Sus scrofa: one gene and its partners. The protein of the gene in region 1 binds, or shares a complex with, the protein of each later gene. Links are inferred from orthologs where the notes say so. Each region holds a gene or a part of one and is shown in the gene's direction. Other genes may lie near its edges.

Region 1 (3,500 bases):
GCCTGCCCCAGGTTAGTACTGAGAGTGGAAAAGAAAGGAACAAAAATGGTTAGGACCAGAGATTGGAAACAGAAAGCCAAGGAACACTCAGTTATATAGTGAGAGTCTCTGAAGTCTCTTGTTTGGACGATGAAAAAATGAAATGCCATTAATAGAATCCAGAAGTAAAATGAAAAATTTTGATGAATTTAATTAGTTCCCCTTAGGAATTTGATGCAAACTGATGCATGGCAGCTCCAAGTGCCTTGTTTTGATGTTATTCTTAGGAGATTATCAGGTAGTATTAGGTATTTAGAACCTTAAATAGGGGAAGACATCTGTAGAGGTTCTATATGGAATAAAATTTGACTCTAATAAATAATCAAAGCATCCGTTAGAGTTGGGTCTGCTTTCACCTTGTATTTGAAATTTAGAATTCAACGTTAACTATATCAAACTAAGAGGTCTTTCCTTTTTATTACCCCACTAGGTCTTTTAAAAAGTTTAAAAACTGTCAGGTGCATAAATAAGTTCAGTTCAAAAGACACTGCAAAATTCTCCATTATGAAAAAAGTTCACATGCTAAGAAAAACAAAGCTCAACTTTTTTTATATTCATTGTATTTCAGGAACATTTTAATAGATACGAGAGAGCAATTTATGCAGCTTTAAGTGGGAATCTCAAGCAGGTATGTGGTCTATTTTAATAATTCTTTTTTCCCCTATAGAATGAAATCAGATACACAAAATACTCTAATAAAGTATATTGTAATCATGTAAGGTTAAGCTGCTTTCTAAGAATAGCAATGATAGGAGTTCCCTTGTTGCACAGCAGGTTAAGGATCCAGCCTTGTCACTGAAGCAGCTCAGGTCACTGCAGCAGCTCAGGTCACTGCTTGGGATCCCTGGCTTGGGACCTACCATTTGCTGTGGGTGTGGCCAAAAAAAAAAAAAAGAACAGCAATGATAGAGATAATCATCAAATAGAGTGACTTGAGCTGCTTAAATTGATGTATTCCATGTACCACTTGATGTTTTTAATACATGAAATCTGATTTCAGTTTCTTCTAGCATTGTAAATTTAATTACAATACTTATTTCTTGATGACTTATGGTACCCATAGCTTTATCCAGAAGTGTACTGCATAAAGCACAGTGACTATGCTACATTTTACAGCAGCTATTTTGAGGGATATTTTCAAAATTAGTTGAAATACCATCTTATATCAGCATGGGAAATGAATGCTGTTGTGAACTCATTATGGAAGAAATCTTAATAATTCAAACATCTTAGAAGATGTGGTGGTGGGGGGAGCTGTGATAATTTACATTCCTAATGTTTTAGGTCATTAGGTGCCTTTATGGTCCAGAGCAATGGGTGTAACTGCTATTCCTGTCTCTTCTGTTGACTGTATCTGTGTGTTTCTGTTTGAAATTGGGGGAAAGCTGCTTCCTGTCTGTGACACCTGGGAGGATACAGTGTGGGCCTACTTTCGGGTGATGGTGGACAGTCTGGTAGAACAGGAGATCCGAACATCAGTAATGACTCTGGATGAAACTGAAGAACTCCCTAGAGAATATTTGGAAACAAAGTGAGTTTATTGGTTTGTTTTCATCATCATCATTTGTAATATGCTCTGTGAAGTTTTATTTTGTAGCCCTTGTTCATATTATTGTTATTGATCACTTCCCTTGTTCTTCCTTTCGAAGCTGGACCTTAGAAAAGGTTTTTGAAGAACTTCAAGCTACTGATAAAAAGGTAAATATTAATATTTTATGATAAATGGAATAGGAAACCAAGTGTTGCATTGTCATGCACTGTGGCTGAAAGATGCACAAGTATGTGAAATCTTGTTATATTCTCTTTTCCTCACCTTTTATCCAAATGGAGTATATTCTTTAAAAGGAAGAAACGTAATAATATATTAAATGATACATCATTTCTGTTTCTTTGGTTTAGGATTGGTTTCATCTAAATATGTGGTGTGGGTATAAGCTAATTTATCCCTTTCGTGTGTGTGTGTATGTGTTTATGTGAATACATGACATTATGCATTTGTCCAAATTTATATGTATTACTCTGATATACATATACATACACACATATAAAACAACTCAATAATAAATAGACATATATATGTCTCAATATGTGTTCGAGCCTTGATGGAGCCAGGCGGCCATGTATTCCTCACCCCAGCCAACTCCCTAGGTCTTGGCAAAAGAATCTATTCTTTTTCTTTTGAAAAATATATAAAGGAAAATTAACAAGGCTTTCTTTTCCTAGATGTCAAAATTTAGACTTTAAAAATCACCAGAGTAATCCAGTCACTTGGGCTAGACCATGATGGGAAATAATGTAAGAAAAGGAATGTAGGAGTTCCTATTGTGGCTTAGCAGTAATGAACCCTGCTAGTATCCATGAGGATGCAGGTTTGATCCTTGGCCTCACTCAGTGGGTTAAGCGTACAGCATTGCTGTGGCTGTGGTGTAGGCCAGCAGCTCCAATTCGACACCTAGTCCGGGAACTTCCATATGCCTCATATTCGGCCCTAAAAAGCACAAGAAAGGAAGGAAGGAAGCGTGGAAGGGAGGAGGGGAATGTATATGTATGTATGACTGGGTCACTTTGCTGCATAGCAGAAATTGGCACAACGCTGAAAATCAACTATACTTTAATACAAAATTAAAAATTAAAAAAATAATCTAAAGATACATAAGTAAGATCTTTAGAAGTTCCTCCCAACCGCCTGTGATTATTCACATTCACTGAGATGATAAAACATTGCCTTCCATGTCCTTCTCCATACTCTCACCACTACATGTAAATAATGTAGATAGTCCATATAGGATTTTTGGTTTTTGTTGTTTTTTACATCCTTCTACCTACACTACCTTTACAGTTTTTTTCCCCATTTAATGATTGTCTCTCTAAGTTAGTGGATATAGTTTTAACTTAACCTAACTTATTTATTTATTTATTTATTTTTGGTCTTTTTGCTATTTCTTGGGCCGCTCCTGTGGCATATGGAGGTTCCCAGGCTAGGGGTTGAATCGGAGCTGTAGCCACCGGCCTACACCAGAGCCACAGCAACGCGGGATCCGAGCCGCATCTGCAACCTACACCACAGCTCACGGCAACGCCGGATCCTTAACCCACTGAGCAAGGGCAGGGACCGAACCCGCAACCTCATGGTTCCTAGTCGGATTCGTTAACCACTGCGCCACGACGGGAACTCCCTAACTTATTTTTTTAAGTAGGTATATAATGGTCTGTAGAATGATGTATCCTTTTTTAAAAACCATTCCCTTTTTGGTGATATTTAGATTTTTCCAGCACCACAGTGAACATTCTTGTTTATTTACTCTGGTTTATGCTTATCTACCAGTCCTATCTCTCTAGGATATGTTTCCTGAAAGCAGGGTTTCTGGGTTAAAGGTTATATGTCATTAAGTTAATTCCCTAGTTGTAGCAATTAATTCATATTCCCATAAGTAACTTATTAATGTGGCCATCTCCTTGCA
Region 2 (4,138 bases), on another chromosome or scaffold:
TCTAACAGTGAAATGGGAACATAAACTATTTTCTCCCAATCTCAGTGGAATATCGGAAGAGTTGATAAAATGAGGTTGTAAGGTACATGGAACATCTCTGATAGGATTGTAGGATTGTTTCAGGGATTGAATGAGATAATATAATAACAACATCAACATTATAAGATAATGTAAAATTCTTAATAAATATCTGGCATATGGTAGCACATAGTAATGACTATATTTTAGTTTAAAAATAGCGAACGAGGAGATCCCATTGCTCTACAGTGGAAATGAATCCGACTAGTATCCATGAAGATGTGGGTTCTAGCCCTGGCCTTGATAAGTGGGTGGGGGATCCAGTGTTGTGGTGAGCTGTGGTATAGGTTGCAGACACGACTGCGTTGCTGTGGCTGTGGTGTAGGCCGGCAGTGGTAGCCCAAATTTGACCCCTAGCCTGGGAACTTCCATATGCCATTGGTGTGGCCCTAAAAAGAAAAGAAAAGAAAAGAAATTAGCAAACTAAAATTTAGCAAGTAAAAAAAAGAGGGCCAATTATTTAGGGGTGCTCAGGTGAACAAATATTTGGTGTTTATGAAATGATTTGTCTGGAAATTGCTTCCAAGTAATTTCTCATGTTGGAGGTGGGATAGAGGAATTGACCAGCTAGTGAAGCTGGACATTCATTATCCTTTTTTTTTTTCCCTGGACATTCATTATTCTAACTTTGCATACATTTGAAAATTTTTTTCTTTTTTCTTTTTTTGTCTTTTCTAGGGCCACAGGTGTGGCATATAGAGCTTCCCAGTCTAGAGGTCAAATAGGAGCTACAGCTGCCTGCCACAGCCACACCACAGCAGTGTGGGATCCAAGCCTCATCTGCGACCTACCACAGCTCACGGGCAACAGCGGATCCTTAACCTGCTGAACGAGGCCAGGGATTGAACCTGCAACCTCATGGTTCCTAGTCAGATTCATTAACCGCTGAGCCATGACCGGAACTCCCTACACTTGAAATTTTAATAATAAAAGGTTATGATTGTTTCACTGTATGTAACTATGTTGATGCAAATCACTTGGTATATACATATACACGAAATGCAATGAAAATCTAGTTTGTAACAAATTAAATGGCTTTTTGAAGTTTATCTATCTTTCACCCCACTCCACTCTCCAAAGTAAAGGAGTAATGCAACGATTTAATTTGACATATAGACAATGATTGGAATTTATGGCTTTCATAATATCATAAGTGGGCATCATTTCAGAAACTAATCTTTTTCTGTACCACCTAACCAACTTTAGTCCTTATAAGAAAAAAAAAACTACACTCCCCAGCATGCATTGCACGACATCGTCAACACGAGGACCTCGCGTCGCCGAACTGGTTGCCCTCGCCTTATTTGAATGGGAATAATCCTGGCGAAAATTGACGTCTGTGGCTCAGAGTAGATTTTCGAGTATTTGTAAGACAAGCTCGGTAGAGCGTGCGGTAGGAAGGAGACAGCGTGGTACCTTTATGTTCAGGCATCGCCCCAGGCAGCCTCGCCCTTTTCTGGGGCTTCCGTGCGGCAGGAGGGCTCCGTTAGTGCGCTTCCAACATGGCGACGCTGTTGGCGGTAAATTCAGGTAGGTGCGGCCGGGGCAGAAGGCAAATTGTGGGGCAAGGTGCTGATCGGTTCTTAAGGGAGAGACCCGGGCTGTGGGGTTCCTCGGAGTCCAGTCCCCCATTTGTGCACAGTGCCCGCTTCTCTCCAGCCGGGAGCCTAGATTCCCGCTCCTCCCCAGTTTGAATGGCGCGCGTCGGCTCTGCGGGTGTTAAGAATTGGGCTTTGAGGGTCGAGGCGAGGAAGCTCGGTCCACCGGAACCCGGCGTGGAATTCTCGCAGTTCAAGGCCAAGCCTGTTCTCTTCCATTACTCACCCCATTATGTGTCCGTGATCCAGGTTTCATATGTAGTTTTCCAGCAATGAGGTCAGGGGACCTGAGATATTTTTTTCAGCCCATGCCGAAACTCGTACTTTGTATTAGGCACCTGGATCGCTCATGGAGGTTGGGGGGTTATGCAGGAAGCGAGGTTCCTTGGTTATGAAGCCTGAAATTTTGAAGGTGGCCGAGGACTACCATGACTCCCAGCTCTGCAGTTGTGGCCTGTCCCTGGATGCTTCTGTACCTTTGGAACAGTAGATCCTCGGGACAGGGCAGAATCTAGAAGGTTGTAAAGAAACTCTGGAAGATTTGGATTGGGCAGTTCTCAATCTGGGGCGGAACTCCCCCTCCCTGCGGGGGGGCATTTAAAAGAGTGGGTGCATTTTGATTGTCCCGGTTCCTGGGGTGCTCTGCTGGCGCCTAGTGGGCGGGTCTAGGTTGCCAGACATGCTGCAGCGGCGGGAGCGTTCCTGAAAATCAATTTCCTGCTCTGAATGTCACTGTCTTGTTTGAGCCATGCTAAGCTTTATGGGCAGTTAAGAGCACATCGGTGAGGTAAATCCTTGTAAAGAATCTCACTCAAAGAGAGCTCTTTCTTAGGGCGCCTTTTCTTTCTGTCTCTACGCAGTTGGTTTTTTTGTTTTTTGGTTTTTTTTTGTTGTTGTTTTTTGTTTTTGTTTTTGTCTTTTTAGGGCCGCACCTGTGGCTTAGGGACGTTTCTAGGCTATGGGTCGAATAGGGTCTAAGGCTGCCGGCCAGTGCCGCAGCCACAGCGACCCTGCGTGATTGGAGCTTTGTCTGAGACCTACACCGCAGTTCAAGGAACACTGGATCCTTTAACTCACTGACAGGCCAGGGATGGAACCCACGTCCTCATGAATGCTAGTCGGATTGGTTACCAGCTGAGCCGGGATGGGAACTCCCTATGCTGTTGTTTTGTGTGTGTGTGTGTGCTGGTTTGTTTTCACACGACTGATACTCTTGAAAACGTGTCTAAATCTGACTTTTGCAAATCAAACCATTTCAGAAACACTATGATAAATTATTTTGTAATAATGAAGGATTATGTTTATTGAGCACCTCCTTTTCCCCAGGCACCATGCTAGGAGCTATCTTTTATCTCATTTAATCCCCTTTATCCACCTATGGAGTAGCTACTATTAAATACTCCATTTTACAGATTTGGAAATAGAGTGGTTAAGTAACTTCTTCAGGGTTATACAGTTAATGATTCAAAGTCAGTCTTTGATGATACTTAAACGTGTTCCTACTGAAGCACAAGCTAATTCATTTCATTACATAAAATTTCCATATACCTGAATTTAGTAATGAAGTTACTTCCTTAATCTTGCTGTCTTGCCCTCCTAACCCAGATGTAAACTTAAAACAAAGTTTTCATGTTATACGTGTGGTTATATACTTTTCTTTAGTACATGCTCATCCTAAATTAGTATCATTAAACATAAATCATTGAAGGAAAAGGAGTTGCCAGCAATTTCAAAGCATATATACATTGTATAGTGAGGCCTCCTGGCAGTGGTATTTAATTGGTCACATAGAAAGGAAACTTTTTGAGGGATTGAACTCTGGCCACAGTAGCCAGCTGAGCTGCTGAGGTGACAGCACTGGATCCTTAACCTCCTGAGCCACAAAGGAGCTCCCAGGAAGCATTTTTAAAAGCCCAGGCAGGAGTTTTTTTTTTTTTTTTTTTTAGGGCAGCATCTGCACCATATGGAGGTTCCCAGGCTAGGGGTTGAATCAGAGCTACAGCTGCCACTCTACACCACAGCCACAGCAATGTGGGATACAAGCTGGTCTGTCTGTTCCCAGGCTAGGGGTCTAATCGGAGCTGCAGCTGCTGGCCTACACCACAGCCACAACAATGCCAGATCAGAGCCTCGTCTGCGACTTACACCACGGCTCACGGCAATGCTGGATCGTTAACCCACTGAGCAAGGCCAGGGATTGAACCCGCAACCTCATGGTTCCTAGTTGGATTTGTTAACCACTGAGCCACGACGGGAACTCCCAGGACGATATTTTTAAAAAATTAAATGTCCAGGCAAGGAACCCAAATGCCGGTTGACAAATGAATGGATAGACAATGTGGTCTGTAGATACAATGGAGTGTTATTCAGCCTTAAAAAGGAAACCCTGTCCTATGCTGCAGCATGAATGAATCTTGAAGACATTCTGCTAAGTGAAATAAACCAGTAGCAAAAAGACAAAT
Region 3 (3,500 bases), on another chromosome or scaffold:
GCCTCCGGGGCATATGGAGGTTCCCAGGCTCGGGGTCAAATCAGAGTTGTAGCCAGTGGCTTACACCACAGCAACGCTAGATCCAAGCCATGTCTGCGACCTATACCGCAGCTCATGGCAACACCAGATCCTTAACCCACTGAGCGAGGCCAGGGATTGAACTTGCGTCCTCATGATGCTAGTCAGGTTCATTTCTGCTGAGCCACAACGGGAACTCCGAGACCTTGAAATCTTTAATGAGTGTCGTGCTAAGCAGTCTGTCTGATGAAGTCTCAGACTAAATGTCATCCACATCCACGCAAGTTAATGAACTGAGTTGATTTCTATGAAGATAGGAATATGTTTCACTGCATCTACTGAATAATGCTTAGTAAAATAGGAAAATGATACCAGTTTTTACACTAGTTTACCTTTCAGTTGTCAACTTCTCACACGGTGGGTGGTCATTGGTATGTCCACGCCTTTATTCTCAGCAACCTCTTGTTTTGTCTGCTCTGGATCAGGCATACTCTCTGCCCTCTTGTGCTCACTGTGCCCTTGTTCCACTGGGACTCAGTCTCCTGCTCACCTCAACTATTCTGTCCACTGGCCCCTCTCCTGCTGCTGCTTAGAATACCATATTTGCAGTTAGGAGCCTGGGTGAGAGAGAGGTCCTGTTGGGGGGCATCCTGAATTAGCAGAGGAAGCCCAATATTTTGCTGAGTCTAGGAATATTTTCTGGATGGCTTGGTGTACTTACTCTAGTCATGCTCATTTTAAATGTCAAGTAAACAAATCAAGATTAGACTGGGAAAATTCTGTGGGAAGCCTATAGAATCATTTCTTTCAACAAATAGACTTTTTGGTTTGGGGAGAGATTGAACTGGTTGTTATTAAGGGTCTGGTCTAGCTGTTAAGTGTTCCTGATTTTGTATCACTTAATATATATATTTTTAAATTACTGAAATTGATGATAAAAGCCTGATCAAAAAGATTTGAGAAGAAGAATATTTGTAGAATGGTATTTCCAGCAATGAATTAAACTCTAAAATATGCAAACAGAGGAAATAGTGACGTCAGGTGGATATTCAAAAAGTTGGATTTGACATGAAAGATTTTGTCCCATAGCTGTCTGTTTGCAAAGAACTTCAGCTGCCACCAAGTGATTTCCACTGGAGTGCTGACTTGGTGGCTCTCTCGTATTCTGCTGCCTCAGGTGAATCACATTCTACTCAGGTAGGTGACTTACATGCTTATTGAAGTACTTTTTTGCAGGGTGGGGTGTGCCTGTGGCATGCAGAAGTTCCCCAACCAGGGATCAAACCCAAGCCACAGCAGTGACAATGCCGGATCCTTGGCTTCTTGGTCACTGGAGAACTCCAAAGTACATGTTTTTAAAGTAAGGGAATTCTAAAGTTGGAGGAATCATCCAGCCAGACTCTGAAACATAAAGCCACAGGAATCAAGACAGAGTGGGAGTTCCCATTGTGGCTCAGCAGAAATGAACCTGACTAGTATCCATGAGGATGTGGGTGTGATCCCTGGCCTCTCTAAGTGGATTAAGGATCTGGCATTGCTGTGAGCTGTGTGTGTATGTTGCAGATGCGGCTCAGATCTGGTGTTGCTGTGGCTGTGGTATGGGCCGGCAGCTGTAGCTCAGATTCAACCCCTAGCCTGGGAACTTCCATATGCTGTGCACGTGGCCATATAAAGGAAAAAAAAAAAAAAAAAAAAAAAAACAGGGCACAAGACTTGAACTGACACGTTGCCAAAGAGGATATAAGGATGCCAAATAAGCAGATGAAAAGATGTTCACATCACTGGCCATCAGTGAAATGAAAATTGAACAAGTGAGACATCACTGCACATCTAGTGCAGTGGCTAAAATAAGTACTGACACTTCCAAGTGCTGACAAGGAGCAACTGGAACTTCATGTTGTTGCTGTCGGAAATGCAGAATGGTGCAACCACTTGATTTTCTCTTTCTTACACAGTTAAAATATGCTTGCCTTGCCATATGACCCAGCAATTCCATTCCTGGCCATTTATTCTAGGGACATTAAAGCTTATGTTCATGCAGAAATAGTACACTCATGTCATAGCAGCTTTACTTGTGATGGGCAAAGGTGGAAGCAATCCAGACATCCTTTAGCAAGTGAATGGATGGATGAACTGATTTGTCTGTAGTGTGGATGACACTGAAGAGGTATGAGCTGTTGATTATCTACAGCCTGGATAAATCTCAGCGACATCATGCTCAGTGAGATAAGCCAGTGTCAGAAGGTTATATTCTGTATGGGTTGGTTTGGCATCCTCAGAAAGATAGGACAAGGATGATGGAAGTAGTGATGGCCAGGGGTTAGGATGGGAAGGTGTGACTATAGGGAAAGCATCAAGGAGTTCTGGGTGCTGGTGGAACTGCTCTGTATCCTCACCATAGTGGTAGTTATGGGTCTATCTGTGTTGTAAAATCCATAGATCTGTGAGGAGTTCCCCCTGTGGCCCAGTGGGTTAGGGATCCGAATGTGGTGGCTCAGGTTGCTCTGGAGGTGCAGATACTATCCTTGGCCCCATGCAGTGGGTTAAGGATCTGGTGTTGCCTCAGCTGTGGTGTAGATCACAGCTGCGGCTCAGATTCAGTCCCTGGCCTGGGAATTTCCATATGCCTTGGTGTGGCCAAAAAAGAAAAATTTGCAGAATCGTGAAACTAAAGGGCAGAAACATCGATTTTACTGTATGATAATTAACAAAGAAAAGGAGTTTTTATTTCTGATTTCTGGTAATTAGTAGTACGTCATCCTGTTTTCTTTACATTGGTGTTGTCAGACTTCCAATTTGGGGTCCTTCTTTTCTTGTGATTGTTGAGTTCGAGATCTTGTTTTGAGGCTGTTGCTGTCATGGTGGCCACCAGAGAAGGATCCATCCGCTACTGGCCAAGCCTTGCTAGTGAGGACACCTACACAGAGACGACCGTGGACTCAGGAGGGGATAAGACTTACAGCTTCCTAACAGCCGTGCAGGTATATGATGGGCATTCTTTTACATTTACTGGAAAGCCATGATGAGGCCTCTAAGGGGGATTTGAACAGATCACACAGGCCTGTGGGGCTGGTGGGAGTAAAAAAGCAAGAAAGGTAAGGATCTAGGATTTGAATGCTTAGACAAGGGGAAGCCATGCTCATGGGTCTCTGAAATATCAGTAGTGCATAGTAGCCGGTGGTTTTCATTTCTTTCAGAAACACCTTATGGGAGTGACTTAGAAATTTTGACATGAGGAGTGGTTTGTTAATACATACTCTGCAGGTTTACTAAAGAAATAGAATCTGATGCTTGATTCGTTGAACCTACCTTATGGTGAACTTATAGCTTAAAAGTCAGAATTTAAGAAACTTGTAATCAAAAAAACTTCAACAAAGTTTTTCTGTGTAGAATTAATAATAGTAAGTGAATGGATTCATAAGTAAGTTATTTTAATAAAACAACAGTGTTCTTTTGGACTTAACGTACAGATGATTTTCCTA
Region 4 (3,500 bases), on another chromosome or scaffold:
TGGGAACTCCTACCTTAACTCTTTAAATACACCTATGATGGCTAACAAAGTGGTAGGCTCTGGGTTTTTATTGGAAAGCTGTCGCAGTTTTGTTTGAATTAGTGTTTGGTAATTTTGTGTGGTCGTCTGTTTGAATTAGCCTGAGCTTGTGCTCCATTAGGAGATAGTGGACCCTAATTTTTATTTTTTCGTTTTTATTTTTATTCAGCTCCGTCATTATAATTATAATGGAGTTCTTTTTTTTATTAATACAGTGAATTTTATTATATTTATAGTTGCACAGCCATCGTCAAAACCTAATTTTAGAACATTTCCATCCCAAACCCCAAGTTCCCACCTCCCTCCTCCCCATCTGTCCCCTTTGGTAACCATAAGTTTTTCAAAGTCTGTGAGCTTGTTTCTCTTCTGCAAATAAGTTCATTTGTATCCTTTTTTTTGAGTCCACAGGTAAGTGATAGCATATGATGTTTGTCTCTTACTGTCTAACTTCACTTAGTATGATAATCTCTGGTCTACTATTCAGCCATAAAGAAGAATGAAATAATGGCATTAGCAGCAACATGAATGGACCTAGAAATTACTGTATTAAATGGACCCTAATTTTTGTATTTCTGGGTTTTACCAGGTTATTTTAGTACATCTCTGTTGGAATTTTTTTTTTTTTTTTTTTTTTTTTGGTCTTTTTGTCTTTTCTAGGGCCGCACCCGTGGCATATGGAGGTTTCCAGGCTAGGGGTCAAATTGGAGCTGTAGCCAGCCACTGGCCTGCTCCAGAGCCACAGCAATGCCGGATCCAAGCCACATGTGCAACCTACACTACAGCTCACGGCAACGCCAGATCCTTAACTCACTGAACAAGGCCAGGGAATGAACCCAAAACATCGTGTTTCCTAGTCGGATTCGTTAACCACTGAGCCACGACGGGAACTTCTGTTGGGATTTTTAATCGTATTTGTCATTGAACCATTACTCTTTTAAAGCTTTGTATGAATTTAATGTTACTAAAAATGATCCTTATTACTCTGTTGTTGGGAGGGACATCTTTCAAATAATCATACCTGCACAGTTGAGCTGGTTTTACTGAAACTGGATTATGACTGGAAAAAATTCAAAGATGCTCCATACCGGAGGTCATTTGGCATAGGCAGGGGGAGGACGGCAGTGACTGTGCTGCGGTTCAGTGCTGCAGGAAAGGCAAGGAGCAAAATGTGGATGGTGTGTATGTCAGTAAGGAGTACAAATTAAGTCTCAAATTAGTTATACTACAGTAAATAGATTGCTAGAGGAAGATGATCTACTATAAACAGAATGTCTTTTGTAGGTTTTTTAACTAGGCCTGTTGCTTACTGATTATTTGATTAGTACTAGAAATATAGTTCTAGGTGAAAAATACTTCTTAAGTAGTCCACCTTAGATTATGATAGCTCTACAGTAAGGTGTTTTGTGCCAAGAATAATATTTTTATTATGAATGGCTATTACTCTATAGTTATTTATATTATTAATATTTATTAACTATAATAAGTAATAGGCTTTCTGATCAAAACATTAACTAACTTTTCTTCTCCCACTCCACTCTCCCCAACCCCCCCACCCCATTGTAGGTTTCACATCACCGAAGGCAGATTCTCCTGCTGCTCAGCCTACCACCACAAGCCCAATAGTTTATACAAGACCAGCAATAAGTAGCTCTTCTTCCAGTGGAATCGGGTTTGGGGAAAGTTTAAAGGCTGGGCCATCATGGCAGTGTGATACTTGTCTACTCCAGAACAAAGTTGCAGACAACAAATGTGTAGCCTGTCAAGCAACAAAGTTGCCACCAAGAGATACTGCTAAACAGTTGGGAACTGGGACACCAAGTAAAAGTGGCAAACCAACTCTTTCTTCACCAGGGACAGGCTTCGGAGACAAATTTAAACCAGCAGTAGGAACTTGGGATTGTGATACTTGTTTAGTGCAAAATAAACCTGAAGCGATAAAATGTGTAGCTTGTGAAACACCGAAACCTGGAACTGGTGTTAAACGAGTCTTTACGTTGCCAGTGGCTTCAGAAAGTGCTGTAACCATGGCTGCTTCCTCCTCCAGCTGCACTGTAACCACTGGTGCCTTAGGATTTACAGATAAATTCAAAAGGCCCATGGGATCTTGGGAGTGTCCAGTGTGCTGTGTTTCTAATAATGCGGAAGACAATAAATGTGTGTCCTGTATGTCTGAGAAACCAGGTACGTTTATGGCTGTTTGGAATAATTTTGTTCATTACTTTAATAGAACATTTTAATTTATTCTCTGTAAAACAGCTAAGAATAACCTCAATGTTTTAGATGTTTCAGGATGCGCATTTCCTCGTACATTAATTTTTCTAAACTGTCTTGAGAGTAAAATGACTTGTTCGCAACTGAAACTGCATGTCCTATTAGGATAGGCTTTGTGTTAATCAGTCCAGCATTTGCTTTGACCTCTTCTTTGTATGCACTTTTATCAGGAACTTTGGGCTCTTCACCATCATTTCCAAAGTTGGCTAATATGGATGCAAAGGCCTTAGAATGGGAACCATCATTTCCAAAGTTGGCTAATATAGATGCAAAGGCCTTAGAACGGGACAGTCTCTCTCAAACCTTTATGCAGAATGAAATATTACTTTGTCTCTTTTCCTTGAAGTAGAAGTGAGGATGGCTGGTGGTCATTTCCGGGACAGTTTCATTAAAGGGTAGATGGTATTGCTTTATGAGAAGGCTGTGGCTGAATATTCACCCATGTGCCAGACATATTGCAATGATCTTAAAATAGGCAGCCAGAAAAATGGAATTAGGTTTGAGTTCTGTTTCTCTGTTCAATTTTGAAAGAGTTACTGAAGATTTAAATTGATCTTTAATTCATTTGGAAATGACTTTTTGATGTTTTTGTAATGCTTTTATATAATTATTTGGTATAGATATGTAGTAACATGGATACTAAATAAAACATGTTATGAGTATCCTGGGAATTATACTTCCTATTTTTATTGCCTCATTCATGGATGCGTGGTTTTGTGTCTGCAACGGAAAACTCTTGGGTTAATAGCCCAGACCCCTGTCTTAATACAAGGGGTGAGCCTTATTCATAATTCCTCCTAGACCTCTCCACAAGAATGATTTCAGAATCTCTATTCTAAAATAGGTTTCTCTTCCCATCTGGTATTCCTCCTCCTCCCCTTAAAAAGAAAGAAAGAAAGCCCTGATGCATGCAAGAAACCAAAATTAATTGAGTTGATGGGAGAATAAAACTGAGTCAGGAAATTGTTATACAGAAACAAAGGAAGCTCATATATATATGAAAAAACTTCCACTTCATCCTTTAGCTGAACCACCATTATAAGCAGAAAATGATCTGGTCAAACTTGTAATTTTGGTAAATCACTCGGTGGCTTTTTGGAGGATAGATTTGAAGGCAACAAAATTTGGAGACCAGAGGACAGATTAGGAAGTTATATCAGTTATATAGGTCAAGATCCTAGTGATGTGTA
Region 5 (4,000 bases), on another chromosome or scaffold:
AAAGAGAAAAGAAACACCCTTTAAGGAGGAAGCTGACAGAAAGTGGAGGCTAGTTAGTGGGGCCAGGGCAGGAAGAGTCAAATAGGACCAAAAGGTTTTGGACTCGGCTTGTGCTCAAAGAGGAAGAGGGTAAAGGGCAGAAGTTCGGCAAACATTTTCGCTTAATGAATGTCAATAAATCTCAGGCTTTCTTCAGCCTGAGAAACTTATGCTCTGTCCCCTGCTTCCCAAAATGCTGTGCCAATGCCCAGAGGTGAAGCAGGTAAGGGCTGAGAGGCAAGAAGTGCCCTTACACTGGGCTGGCTAAGGAAGGCAGACCTTGGACTTCCAGGGCCACTGTTCCAGCTCCCTTTCATCTGTTACCGTGGCACACGCCCCCTTGTAATTCTCTGAGCAAGCCTCACCTTTCCAAAACGGCTCTGTGACTTTGCTCATGAAGTGTCCCCACCTGGAATACTCCTCACTATCCGCCTTGAGTGTTTGGTTGTCAAAATGAGTATATTTTGATGATCTGTCCCCTTTATGCTCACTCAAATCTCCTTCACTCCCTTCAAAGGCCGTTCCTAGGCCCCCAGCTCATCTTCCCGAGCTGCTTTTAGCCAGGTGAGAACTAAAGTGATCCTATCTTGTTATCTATTTGGGGTGGGACGGACACGCCCAAAGAAAGAGCCTCAGGTGGATGAATTCAGCTTCTAAGTCCCAGACGTCCGAATTTCTGTGATAACGCCCGGCCTCTGCCTTTCCTTCTCCGTCTCAGTTGCCCCGTAAATACATCCTCTGCTCCAACACGCAAGGTCACGGTCTTCTCTGGCCCCTCTGACCCTAACTCAGTCTTAGTCCAGACCAGAAAGTCCCCGACCGGGTGAGGGCTTGTTACCTTTTCGAGCCCCGCGAAAGGCCCCACCCAATTCCTTGCCTTTCCAGTCCTATCGCCAACCCAAGAGCGAGGTCGCAACCCTTACCTGTTGGTAGGTGCCTCCCTGGCCGGCCTCAGCGCATCGGTAGCCTACAGCCTCAGAGCTCCAGGCGCCAGCAACCACCTGTTTCTCCCCACCCTTATGAGGCTACTATCAGCCGAGGCGCCTCCACCAAAGGGATTGGTGCTGGCTCGGCCAATCAGCGCTCGCGGTGTAATCCTGCCCAATAAGGCCAGGCCGCGCCACAATGCCCTGCGCCCTGCGTCAGGCCTCCGTCGGGTTAGTCCCACCCACTCCAGCACTGTGCCAATGGGGAGCTGCAGTCATCTGTCCTCCAATGGGGTGCAAGGCCGCGCGCAGGGGGCGGTGGGAAGGGCGCCGAGTCGGTGTGTACGTCCGTTGCCGTAACAACGGGAAGCGGAGTCCATCGGCGATGGTGAGTGCTTGTTACCCTTTCGAACCCTGTGTCCAGAAGCTGAGCCCTTCACAGGCCTTGGCCTGGCCCCGCCGTCTCTCCTGCGCGGTTCTCGGCTTTGGCGCACTCTTTCCTCTGAGCGCTTCCCGGAAGGGTAGGGTAGAGATCCTGGCCGCCCTGCTGGGCCTGCGATTAGCCGCTGCGTCCCATTCAAGCCACAGCTGGCCCCTATCCGTCCTTCGGGCTCCCCTGGCTCCTTCGGTGACCACCTCTGGTCAAAACAGACTCGGGCTCTTCGCACACCCCGACCACTTCCAGACTCTGGCCTCCTGGCCGCCTCTACCAAAGTTTCTACCCAGAGCCTAGGGGAAGTTTATTGTGTTTGATTGTTAATGTGCATTTAAAATGTTAAATATTGGGACTTCGGAAACGCTTTGACCTTCTTGGGGAAGGCTCAGATGTGCCGAGGGGATTGAGTTTTATTATTCGATATTGACAGAATATACATCTTAACTTAGTATTTGGCCAAATTAGAAGTAATCAGAAAATCTTATAACTTAGAGCGAAGCAGAATAGCGTTCTAAGGACATTTTTAGATTTAGGGTCCCAAATTCAGAGAGAGCTGATTATCTGTACATTTATCCAGAGTCAGCTCCTTGGCCAGCTCTCTTTTTAGATGATTTCAAATAAGAGATATCCAAAAGAACAAAGGATCTCCTTCTAGAAACAGTAGTAAAGAAGAGGGAGGGATAGAGGTGCAGAGAAAGAGTATTTGCTCTTTTCACTAAACGCTGTTATTTCTCCTGTTAGTTTTGGAATTCGTTGGTATAAACTATTTTAAAAGTAGATAGGATTGTAACATATTTATGTAAAATATGTACCCTATTACATAATACCGTGCTTCTCTGTTTGTGAAACATATAAAGGCCTCTAACTTTAAGAAGACAAACGTGGCATCTGCTGCCCAGCGAAAAAGGATGAGCCCTAAACCAGAGCTTACTGAAGAGCAGAAACAGGAAATCCGAGAAGCTTTTGATCTCTTTGATGCTGATGGAACTGGGACAATAGATGTTAAAGAACTTAAGGCAAGCCCTGTACATTCCTGCTCTGCTGCCTTGACTTTTCTCTGCCTCTTTCTCTTCTGTGCTGTTTTTCTGTCTTTATTTACCTCAAGTATTATTAAACAAAATTGAGTGCAAATATCAATTTGCTTAATGTTATAGTGTTTCCTAATTATTTTAACATGATTGTGTCAGATACTGGCTTAATGCTCTCAATGCTGTCATTTTTTGCCCCTGGGTTTAGATGTACATATTGAGATGATCCTGTTTTCATTGCAGGTGGCAATGAGGGCACTGGGCTTTGAACCCAAGAAAGAAGAGATCAAGAAAATGATAAGTGAAATCGATAAGGAAGGGACAGGAAAAATGAACTTCAGTGACTTTTTAACTGTGATGACTCAGAAAATGGTAGGTTAGCTAAGATGATGGGTGTATTTTCCACCAATAATGGTGGACAGATTTGAGTCTAGATATGAAAGTGTCTTTTCACCCATTGGTCCCTTTCTCTTTCATTGGCCTCCTGGCTCCTCCTCAGTGTGGCTCATGTACATTCTACTGGCCCGTGGAAAAGTAGCTCCATCAGTGCTTCAGCTGTGCTTCCCAAGGCACAGGTCTCTTCCCACTCTAATAATCCTGTTGCTTTGAAATCATCTAATCACACCCATATTTTTCTTCAGGGACTAAGTTAAGAGTTCAGGAAGCTTTTCCTCTTTTCCTCTGTCAGAGTACCTGGGATTCTAGTAACTCTTGGTGCTCTCATAAGTGAAATCGCCTTCTCTTTCCTCCCTGCTCCCCTCTGCCCCCAAGAGGATCCCAGCTTAAGCAGTGGAATTTCCTCTAAACTTAATCCCATCATCTGCTGCTGTATTTTATTTATTTATTTATTTTTTTGTCTTTTGTTGTTGTTGTTGTTGTTGTTGCTATTTCTTGGGCCGCTCCCGCGGCATATGGAGGTTCCCAGGCTAGGGGTTGAATCGGAGCTGTAGCCACCGGCCTACACCAGAGCCACAGCAACGTGGCATCCGAGCCGCGTCTGCAACCTACACCACAGCTCACGGCAACGCCGGATCGTTAACCCACTGAGCAAGGGCAGGGACCGAACCCGCAACCTCATGGTTCCTAGTCGGATTCGTTAACCACTGCGCCACGACGGGAACTCCTGCTGCTGTATTTTAAAAAGCAGTCTACTTTTCTCTTCCATTTGTATAGAAAATGTTTTAAGTGCAAGCCTTTATATTTCCTTCTTAGCCTCTGGGATTGTACCAATTTCATGTTTGTCCCCTCTCTCTACGCTGGTTGATTTTTGATCTTCTGTGACCTAGCACCAATGTCATGAGGCCATGTGGTGCTGTTGTGGCAGGGCAGAGGGGATGGTGCTAGGGTTGTGGGACACAGGTAATTATGAGTCTCTTTACTCATGTGTTTTTTATGTTCTACTTGTTAAGTCTGAGAAGGATACCAAAGAAGAAATCCTGAAAGCTTTCAAGCTCTTCGATGACGATGAAACTGGGAAGATATCGTTCAAGAATCTAAAACGCGTGGCCAAGGAGTTGGGCGAGAACCTCACTGACGAGGAGCTGCAGGTGTGTGATGTGTCAGCCTGGAGC
Region 6 (3,500 bases), on another chromosome or scaffold:
GTGGCATAGGCTGGCAGCTACAACTGATTCCACCCCTAGCCTGGGAACCTCCATATGCCAAAGGAGTGGCCCTAAACACACACACACACACACACACACACACACAAAAGATATGAATTTAAAATGTATTTTAAAATACATTTGATTTGGAGTTCCCAGTGTGGCACAGTGGGTTAAGATTCTGACTGTAGTTGCTGCAGAGGCCCAGGTTTGATCCCCAGCTCCAGGGCAGTGAGTAAAAGGAAATCGCAGCTACAGCTCAAATCCAGTCCATGGCCTGGGAACTTCCATATGGGGTGCAGCCTTAAAAAAAATACATTTGATTTAACTAAGAAAAGGACCAGTTCCTTGGTAAAAAAAGACTGGGGGGTGGGGAGAGGTGTTTCCGCTTGTGTACCTGTGTGTATGCATGCATACACAATTTCTGGTTGTGAAAAAAAGGTAAGGCATTTCATGTTATTGAGTCCTACGATAACTAGCTACCCAGAAGAATTGGTGCACTTTTCAGATTTCCTTCAAATGATATGTTTGCTTTCAGTTTCCACTGTCTGCAACAGCTCCAATGGTGTGGCTCCCATATTCTTCTATTGATCAACTTCTCCAGGCTCTGGGAGAGAACAGCGCCAACAGTCACAACATTGCAGTGAGTAAATCCTTTCCTGAGCCATCTTCGCAAGCCCTTGCACTAGCAATTACACCCTCAAGCTTGCTCTTCTGGTTCTCAAGGATTAAGGGGAGGGCAGAAGCCATTTATTGCCCTTCACATGCTGCCCCAATCTCTTTATGAAATGATTAATTAAATCAGATATAACAGCTCTGATTTGGGGAAGGTAGCTAATAAAGTTTTTATTAAAAATACTGGGGTGGGGAGTTCCCGTCATGGCGCAGTGGAAACAGATTCGACTAGGAAACATGAGGTTGTGGGTTTGATCCCTGGCCTCGCTTAGCCAGTCAGGGATCCGGCACTGCCATGAGCTGTGGTGTAGGTCACAGATGCAGCTCAGATCTGGTCTTGCTATGGTTGTGGCGTAGGCTGGCAGCTACAGCTCCAATTAGACTCCTAGCCTAGGAACCTCCACATGCCTTGGATGCGGCCCTAAAAAGACAAAAGACAAAAACAAAATACTGGTGTGGGTACCTCCCCTTGTGGCTCAGCAGGTTAAGAATCCAGCTGGTATCCAAGAGGATGTGGGTTCAACCCCTGGCCTTGCTCAGTGGGTTAAGAATCCGGTGTTGTCGCAAGCTGTGCCATAGGTTGCAGCAGCAACTTGGATCTGGCATTGCTATGGTGTGGGCCGGTGCTGTTGCTCTGATTCAACCCCTAGCCCAGGAACTTCCATATGCTGAAGGTGTGGCCCTAGAAATAAAAAAATAATTAAAAGTACTGGTGTGAGAGTTCCCTGATTGCCTAACAGTTAAAGATTCAGCTTTGTCACTGCTGTGGGTCCAGTTCAATCCCTGGCCCTGGAACCTCTGCATGTTATAGGCTCAGTCATAATTAATTAATTAATTTACAAATACTGGTGTCTTTTGCATATTTAGAAAATTCATTAGGAAAACAGTGTCAGAGTATTGCGTATAACAGAAAAGTCTGGCTTTATCAGTGGAGTCACAAAGCAGACTTCTGTACTGAATTGAATGGTGATTAAATGAAGCACAGCCTAACAACTTCATCAAGGGAAATCTGGTTGACAAAGTCAGAGTGATTGATAACTTTAGTCTTTTTCAGTCCTTGACCTATTCTTTAATGATTCCCGTCTTTTCTCCTATAGCTGTCCCAGAAAATACTTGACAAATTGGAGGACTACCAGCAAAAAGTTGATAAGGCAACAAGGGATTTATTACATCGTCGGCTCTTGTGATCTGGATGGTTGCCCAGCCTTTGTAACCGCTTGGTGCCTCTTAGGGCTTAAGACTTTATTTACCCTACAGGAAACCTGTACTCCAGGCCAATTTTTATACCAGTAAATGATGTGTGCGACAGTCAAGTCTGCATTCTGCACAAGAGAGAAGGGGAGATGAGTCACAGGACCTGTGCTTGCTGGTGGTGCTAACACACAATTTCTGGTTTTCAAACTTGGTCTCAAACAGCTGCTTTTGTATATGATTCACAAGCTTTTTTAGAGTTTATATTTTTTTAAACTACCGAAGACATTCTTTATCTGCAAATTAAAACCCACTTTCACTGTCCAAAATAGCTGATGGTTGTTGGTTTGTTGTAGCTGACCACCAAAAGCAGTCACTGCAAATCCTTTCATTCTTCCTATCACTTTTTGTATTTCAATGGAATTATTTTGGTCCAGAACTGACATGTATTTTCTGTATTGCAAACAGAGGCTAATGATTTTGCATACTCTTCATTATTTATTGTGGAATTTTTTTATGATCTTCAATAAAGTATTAAATAATTTGCCTAGATTAAGCCTAACACGATGACCAGCTGTTAAGGAAGATATCTTTATCTTGGAAGGTCCCATCCTAGCTCAGTGGTTAACAAACCCGACTAGTATATCCATGAGGACACGGGTTTGATCCCTGGCCTTGCTCAGTACATTAAAGGATGCAGCATTGCCGTGAGCTCTGGTGTAGGTTGCAGACAAGGCTTGGATCCGACATTGCTGTGGCTGTGGTGTAGGCCAGCAGCTACAACTCTGATTCAGCCCCTTGCCTGGGAACCTCCATATGCCAAGGGTGCAGACCTAAAGAAGCCAAAAAAAAAAAGATAACTTGAATCTGGTTCTGAGGCTAAAGTGAAGTAAACTCTTAGCTAAGAAAAACTTGAAAATTTATCATCTATAAAAGTAAGAGATTTTCAAAGTAAATTCCATTAACTTCTATGATTTATAATTATCAAGCTGGACTTGATCATACAGGTAATCTAATAATGTATTGGACCAAAATATTAACTTTCCTGGTCAGATTCAGAGGCATTCGTGATCACAAATTTGGGGGAAAGTGACAAAATAAACTCTTTAATTTTATTCTGTATATTAAAACTTATCTTTTAAGGAAGCAATCTGTACAGTACTTGCTTGTATGCCCTTTGACCTGTCTTGAGGTTTTCATAATTATTTAATTTTTATACTGTCAATGCCACATTTACATTATATATTTTAAATAACAATGTGAGTTTCCCTGTGGTACTATTATAGATAGATATTAAGGTATATGATTCTGTTTTCATTTTAGCTCTGCCATGATTATTGTGAAGTGTTTGGTACAATTAGTACTGCAAGACCCCTTGCCCTCCCAGCTCCAGAAACCTGTGGCCTCCAATATAGCAAGAAATAGACTTTGACTTGTATACACATGTATAACCAAGAGAAAGCTTTCACAAAATGTGTATCCTCACTTACTGTGTTTTCATGAGTGACTAATGGATCATAACCTGAAAAATGTCAAACCCTATTGCAGCTATTTCTGGAGGACAAGAAATAGCTCAAAACTGGCCCTGTTCCAAAAACCTATTCATTTGCATTGTTGATCAAAGAAGTGGTTTT
Region 7 (3,500 bases), on another chromosome or scaffold:
CAATGCCAGATCCTTAACCCACTGAGTGAGGCCAGGGATCGAACCTGCATCCTCATGGATATTAGGCAGGTTCTTAACCAACTGAGCCACAATGGGAACTCCTAGGACCCTCAGTCTTAAAGTACACCAAGTACTCCTAGCCACAGCAGCTATCAGCCTTTATTCTTTGGGATGCAGTCATTGAAAAATTATGTAAAAAGTGTGAATTTTTTTCTGTAAAGGTTACACACTTCTGCACAAACTTCATGGGCCCAAGGTGAAGAGTGCCTGGTCTGAAAGCAAATTTACAACTTACTGCTGCAGGACAGAGAGCCCTATTCTGTTTGAAGACTGAGAATGTCACAGTTTCAGAGACCTTAGAAATGAAGACCTGAGGCATGAGGAAACTGAGGCCCAGTGATGCTATCTGATAAACAAGAATCTTTGTCTTAGAGTGTTCTTTTGATCTCCCGCTAGGAATTGATGCTAAGATTTTGTGAGGAAGAAGAGTGAGGAGTTCCTGCTGTGGCACAGTGGGTCAAGAATCCAGCTTGCAGCAGCTCAGCAGCTTGGTTTGCTGCAGAGGCATGGGGTTTGATCCCTGGCCTGGCACTTTGGGTTGAGGAACTGGCGTTGCCCCATCTGTGGTGTAGGTTGCAGCTGTGGGTCAGATTCAGTCCCTGGCCCGGGAACTTCCATATGCCACAGGCATAGCCATTAAAAAAAAAAAAAAAAAAGAAAAAAAAAGTTATTTGGAGTTCCCGTTGTGGCTCAGTGAGTTGAGAACCCGACATAGTGTCCCTGAGGGATGTGGGTTTGACCCCTGACCTTGCTCAGTGGGTTAAGGATCTGGCGTCACAAGCTTTGGCATAGGTTGCAGATTTGACTTGGATCCAGTGTTGCTGTGACTGTGGCATAGGCCTCAGCTGCAGCTCTGATTTCGACCTCTAGCCCAGAAACTTCCATGAACTGGAGGTGTGGCGTAAAAAGAAAAGTAAGGAGTTCCTGTTGTGGCTCAGCAGGTTAAGAACCAGACTAGAATCCATGAAGATGGAGTTCCCGTCGTGGCGCAGTGGTTAACGAATCCGACTAGGAACCATGAGGTTGCGGGTTCGGTCCCTGCCCTTGCTCAGTGGGTTAACGATCCGGCGTTGCCGTGAGCTGTGGTGTAGGTTGCAGACGCGGCTCGGATCCCGCGTTGCTGTGGCTCTGGCGTAGGCCGGTGGCTACAGCTCCGATTCAACCCCTAGCCTGGGAACCTCCATATGCCGCGGAAGCGGCCCAAGAAATAGCAACAACAACAACAACAACAAGACAAAAAGACAAAAAGACAAAAAAAAAAAAAAAAAGAATCCATGAAGATGCGGGTTTGATCCCTGGCCTTGCTCAGTGGTTAAGGATCTGGCATTGCCTCAAACTGTGACATAGGTTACAGATGGAGCACAGATCTGGTGTTGCTGTGGCTATGGCGTAGGCCAGCAGCTGCAGCTCCAATTCAACCCCTAGCTTTAGAAAATTCCATGTGCTGCCAGTGCAGCCCTAAAAAAAAAAAGAAAAAAAGGTGAAAAAAGGCAAGTTAAAAATTGCAAGAAAGCTATTTTCTGGATCAGGTCATCCAGTAGAAATAAGGTACAAATTGCTTGTAGTAATTAAAAAATTTCTAGTAGTCACACTAAAAAATGAAAGAAAACAGGTGAAAAAAGAGATGAAATTAATTTTAATAAAGCTTAACCCATTATGTCCAGAATATCATTTCAACTTCTAATCAGTATAAAAAATTTAAAATGAGATATTTTCCTTTTTTTTTTTTCTTTAAACTGAGTCTTCAAAACCCAGTGTGTATTTTTACACTTGTAGCACATGTCAGTTTGAACTGGCCACAGCGTAAGTGCTTCCCTGTCAGGGGTGGCCGGCCTGCCAGATTGGACAGTGCCAAGGTGATGCAAACTTCATGGCTTGCATACTTTCTCATTCCTTTAGCCAGACGCCCTTTGTAGGCCAGAGCATATTCTATGAAGAGTTACTTTTCTCTCTATCTTTTGTCTTTTTGTTGGTGTTTCAGCTAATACAAATTGTCTTAGGTTCTTACCTAGAAGACACCCATTTTAATTTAATTTAATCTATTACCCGGCTTGGAAATATGAAAAATGGGATGTTAACTCTAATCACTTGCCTTCCGTGGCAGTTGTTAAGGCTCTCATCAAGGTTGGCTTTGTGTTAGTTTTATATTTATACTAATCTTTTCTTATGATTGAATTTTTTTTTTCAGTTGTCGCAAATGCATGGATATTTGGCTAAACCGCTTAGTATGCCACATCTGGTTATGGCAGCACTTTTTATCTATGTTTTGAATTTATAGCTGTTAATTTTTTTCAATGATCAGTAAGTAAAAGCAGGACTTTTTGCTTGTTTTTTAAGTAGATTCTATGTGTACTAAGCATTTTTAATAGAGCATTAAATCAGGCTTCTAATTCTAATTCACATTTTATCATGAGCAGTGTCCACACTGAATTATGTGGAAGTTCCAAGGCCAGGGATGGAACCCATGCCACAGCACTGGAAACTCAGAACCCTAAACTGCTACGCCACCAAGGAACTCTTGTCAGCATGCTCTTTTAACCTGAATATTATGTTCTATGATACTTATTTTTAGAGTGTTGATGCTAACTAATACTTAATATCTTTGACAACTTTTTTTTGGATTTACCTTACAGCGGAAGAGAAGAAAAAGCCTGAAGACCTTCCCTCGGATGATGATGTTCTCATTGTATATGAGTTGACCCCAACTCCTGAGCAAAAAGCTCTTGCAATCAGACTTCAGCTTCCTCCCACTTTCTTCTGCTATAAGAACCGGCCAGGATACGTCAGCGAAGAGGAAGAGGATGGTAAGCTTTTTCTTGCTTTAAAGCATTCTGTTCATGCTCCATCTTAGTGGACAGGGTGATGAAATCCTTTCAAGCCTGCTTCCGAGAGCCCACCCCTGCTCTACTTGCAGGTGAATGCATGTGTGAATAATCAGCGCATGTAGTGATTGAAAGAGGTTTTCCTGGAGTGCTGCTCTGAACAGGGCAGGCGTTCTGAGGGAACTGAAGACAACCCTAATTTCCCTGGGGAATGAGAGGAGTGGGATGGTGGTGAGGCAGAGATAGCCTCTGACTGGGGCTTGCTTTGTGGGCTGTGTCAGAGTTTTCAAGCAGAGGAATCTTGTGCTCGGAGTAATTTGAGTAGGACAGTTGGGCCATGGGGTAGAGGACTGGGTTGTGGAAAGTGGAGAAGGAAGAGGAGCTAAAGTAGTGGAGCAGCTCAGACAAGAGCAGAGAGGCGTTTGTATAGAATTGGCAAAATTGGTTGCTATTTGGATGTAGGAGCAAGGGAAAGTGGGAAGTTGGAGAGGAACCCTTGATTCCTGGCTAGAAAATCTCCTGAAATACACTAGAAATTCATTTATTTAATAAAATATATTATACTTTAAGATGAAGATTTCGACACAGCTGTCAAGAAACTTAACGGAAAACTATATC

What was found.
Region 2: the proteins of NUP107 (region 1) and NUP205 are in contact, whole or in part, in a cryo-EM structure (PDB 7WB4), measured with the Xenopus laevis proteins. The link is inferred for Sus scrofa from reciprocal best matches to the Homo sapiens genes NUP107 and NUP205. Residues at the interface, in NP_001091312.1 of Xenopus laevis: Gln134, Glu136, Pro189, Tyr282, Tyr283, Gln770, Ser772, Phe773, Thr774; in XP_041443600.1 of Xenopus laevis: Gly1247, Gln1248, Arg1249, Pro1250, Ser1458, Arg1506, Gln1507, Leu1983, His1991, Gln1995.
Region 3: the proteins of NUP107 (region 1) and NUP133 are in contact, whole or in part, in a crystal structure (PDB 3CQG), measured with the Homo sapiens proteins. The link is inferred for Sus scrofa from reciprocal best matches to the Homo sapiens genes NUP107 and NUP133. Residues at the interface, in NP_065134.1 of Homo sapiens: Leu875, Gln876, Ala878, Asp879, Val881, Ser882, Ser883, Glu884, Tyr889, Lys894, Leu897, Arg898, Leu900, Leu901, Gln902, Arg905, Ser908, Leu909, Leu912, Asp917, Pro918, Leu919, Tyr921; in NP_060700.2 of Homo sapiens: Trp937, Leu938, Ile941, Asn942, Gln944, Leu946, Tyr963, Ala965, Lys966, Lys968, Thr969, Leu970, Gly972, Leu973, Lys975, Leu976, Ala977, Leu979, Ala980, Ser981, Asp982, Ile992, Glu999.
Region 4: NUP107 (region 1) and NUP153 share a complex: the UniProt entries of both Homo sapiens proteins name them as parts of the nuclear pore complex. The link is inferred for Sus scrofa from reciprocal best matches to the Homo sapiens genes NUP107 and NUP153.
Region 5: NUP107 (region 1) and CETN2 share a complex: the UniProt entries of both Homo sapiens proteins name them as parts of the nuclear pore complex. The link is inferred for Sus scrofa from reciprocal best matches to the Homo sapiens genes NUP107 and CETN2.
Region 6: NUP107 (region 1) and NUP160 share a complex: the UniProt entries of both Homo sapiens proteins name them as parts of the nuclear pore complex. The link is inferred for Sus scrofa from reciprocal best matches to the Homo sapiens genes NUP107 and NUP160.
Region 7: NUP107 (region 1) and E3 SUMO-protein ligase RanBP2 share a complex: the UniProt entries of both Homo sapiens proteins name them as parts of the nuclear pore complex. The link is inferred for Sus scrofa from reciprocal best matches to the Homo sapiens genes NUP107 and RANBP2.

Annotation. Positions count from the first base shown.
Region 1 is NC_010447.5:33,024,161-33,027,660, forward strand, and holds part of NUP107 (nuclear pore complex protein Nup107), read left to right. Parts: intron 1-607; coding exon 608-667; intron 668-1,424; coding exon 1,425-1,570; intron 1,571-1,688; coding exon 1,689-1,737; intron 1,738-3,500. UniProt on the Homo sapiens protein: Plays a role in the nuclear pore complex (NPC) assembly and/or maintenance. Required for the assembly of peripheral proteins into the NPC. May anchor NUP62 to the NPC. Involved in nephrogenesis.
Region 2 is NC_010460.4:13,774,974-13,779,111, reverse strand, and holds the start of NUP205 (nuclear pore complex protein Nup205), read left to right. Parts: upstream 1-1,338; 5' UTR 1,339-1,580; coding exon 1,581-1,608; intron 1,609-4,138. UniProt on the Homo sapiens protein: Plays a role in the nuclear pore complex (NPC) assembly and/or maintenance. May anchor NUP62 and other nucleoporins, but not NUP153 and TPR, to the NPC.
Region 3 is NC_010456.5:60,359,920-60,363,419, forward strand, and holds part of NUP133 (nuclear pore complex protein Nup133), read left to right. Parts: intron 1-1,107; coding exon 1,108-1,215; intron 1,216-2,864; coding exon 2,865-2,999; intron 3,000-3,500. UniProt on the Homo sapiens protein: Involved in poly(A)+ RNA transport. Involved in nephrogenesis.
Region 4 is NC_010449.5:13,414,578-13,418,077, reverse strand, and holds part of NUP153 (nuclear pore complex protein Nup153), read left to right. Parts: intron 1-1,602; coding exon 1,603-2,220; intron 2,221-3,500. UniProt on the Homo sapiens protein: Component of the nuclear pore complex (NPC), a complex required for the trafficking across the nuclear envelope. Functions as a scaffolding element in the nuclear phase of the NPC essential for normal nucleocytoplasmic transport of proteins and mRNAs.
Region 5 is NC_010461.5:123,903,247-123,907,246, reverse strand, and holds the start of CETN2 (centrin-2), read left to right. Parts: upstream 1-1,200; 5' UTR 1,201-1,254; coding exon 1,255-1,353; intron 1,354-2,258; coding exon 2,259-2,417; intron 2,418-2,672; coding exon 2,673-2,801; intron 2,802-3,838; coding exon 3,839-3,976; intron 3,977-4,000. UniProt on the Homo sapiens protein: Plays a fundamental role in microtubule organizing center structure and function. Required for centriole duplication and correct spindle formation. Has a role in regulating cytokinesis and genome stability via cooperation with CALM1 and CCP110.
Region 6 is NC_010444.4:14,888,556-14,892,055, forward strand, and holds the end of NUP160 (nuclear pore complex protein Nup160), read left to right. Parts: intron 1-538; coding exon 539-643; intron 644-1,772; coding exon 1,773-1,862; 3' UTR 1,863-3,012; downstream 3,013-3,500. UniProt on the Homo sapiens protein: Functions as a component of the nuclear pore complex (NPC). Involved in poly(A)+ RNA transport.
Region 7 is NC_010445.4:47,549,329-47,552,828, reverse strand, and holds part of E3 SUMO-protein ligase RanBP2, read left to right. Parts: intron 1-2,693; coding exon 2,694-2,864; intron 2,865-3,452; coding exon 3,453-3,500. UniProt on the Homo sapiens protein: E3 SUMO-protein ligase which facilitates SUMO1 and SUMO2 conjugation by UBE2I. Involved in transport factor (Ran-GTP, karyopherin)-mediated protein import via the F-G repeat-containing domain which acts as a docking site for substrates.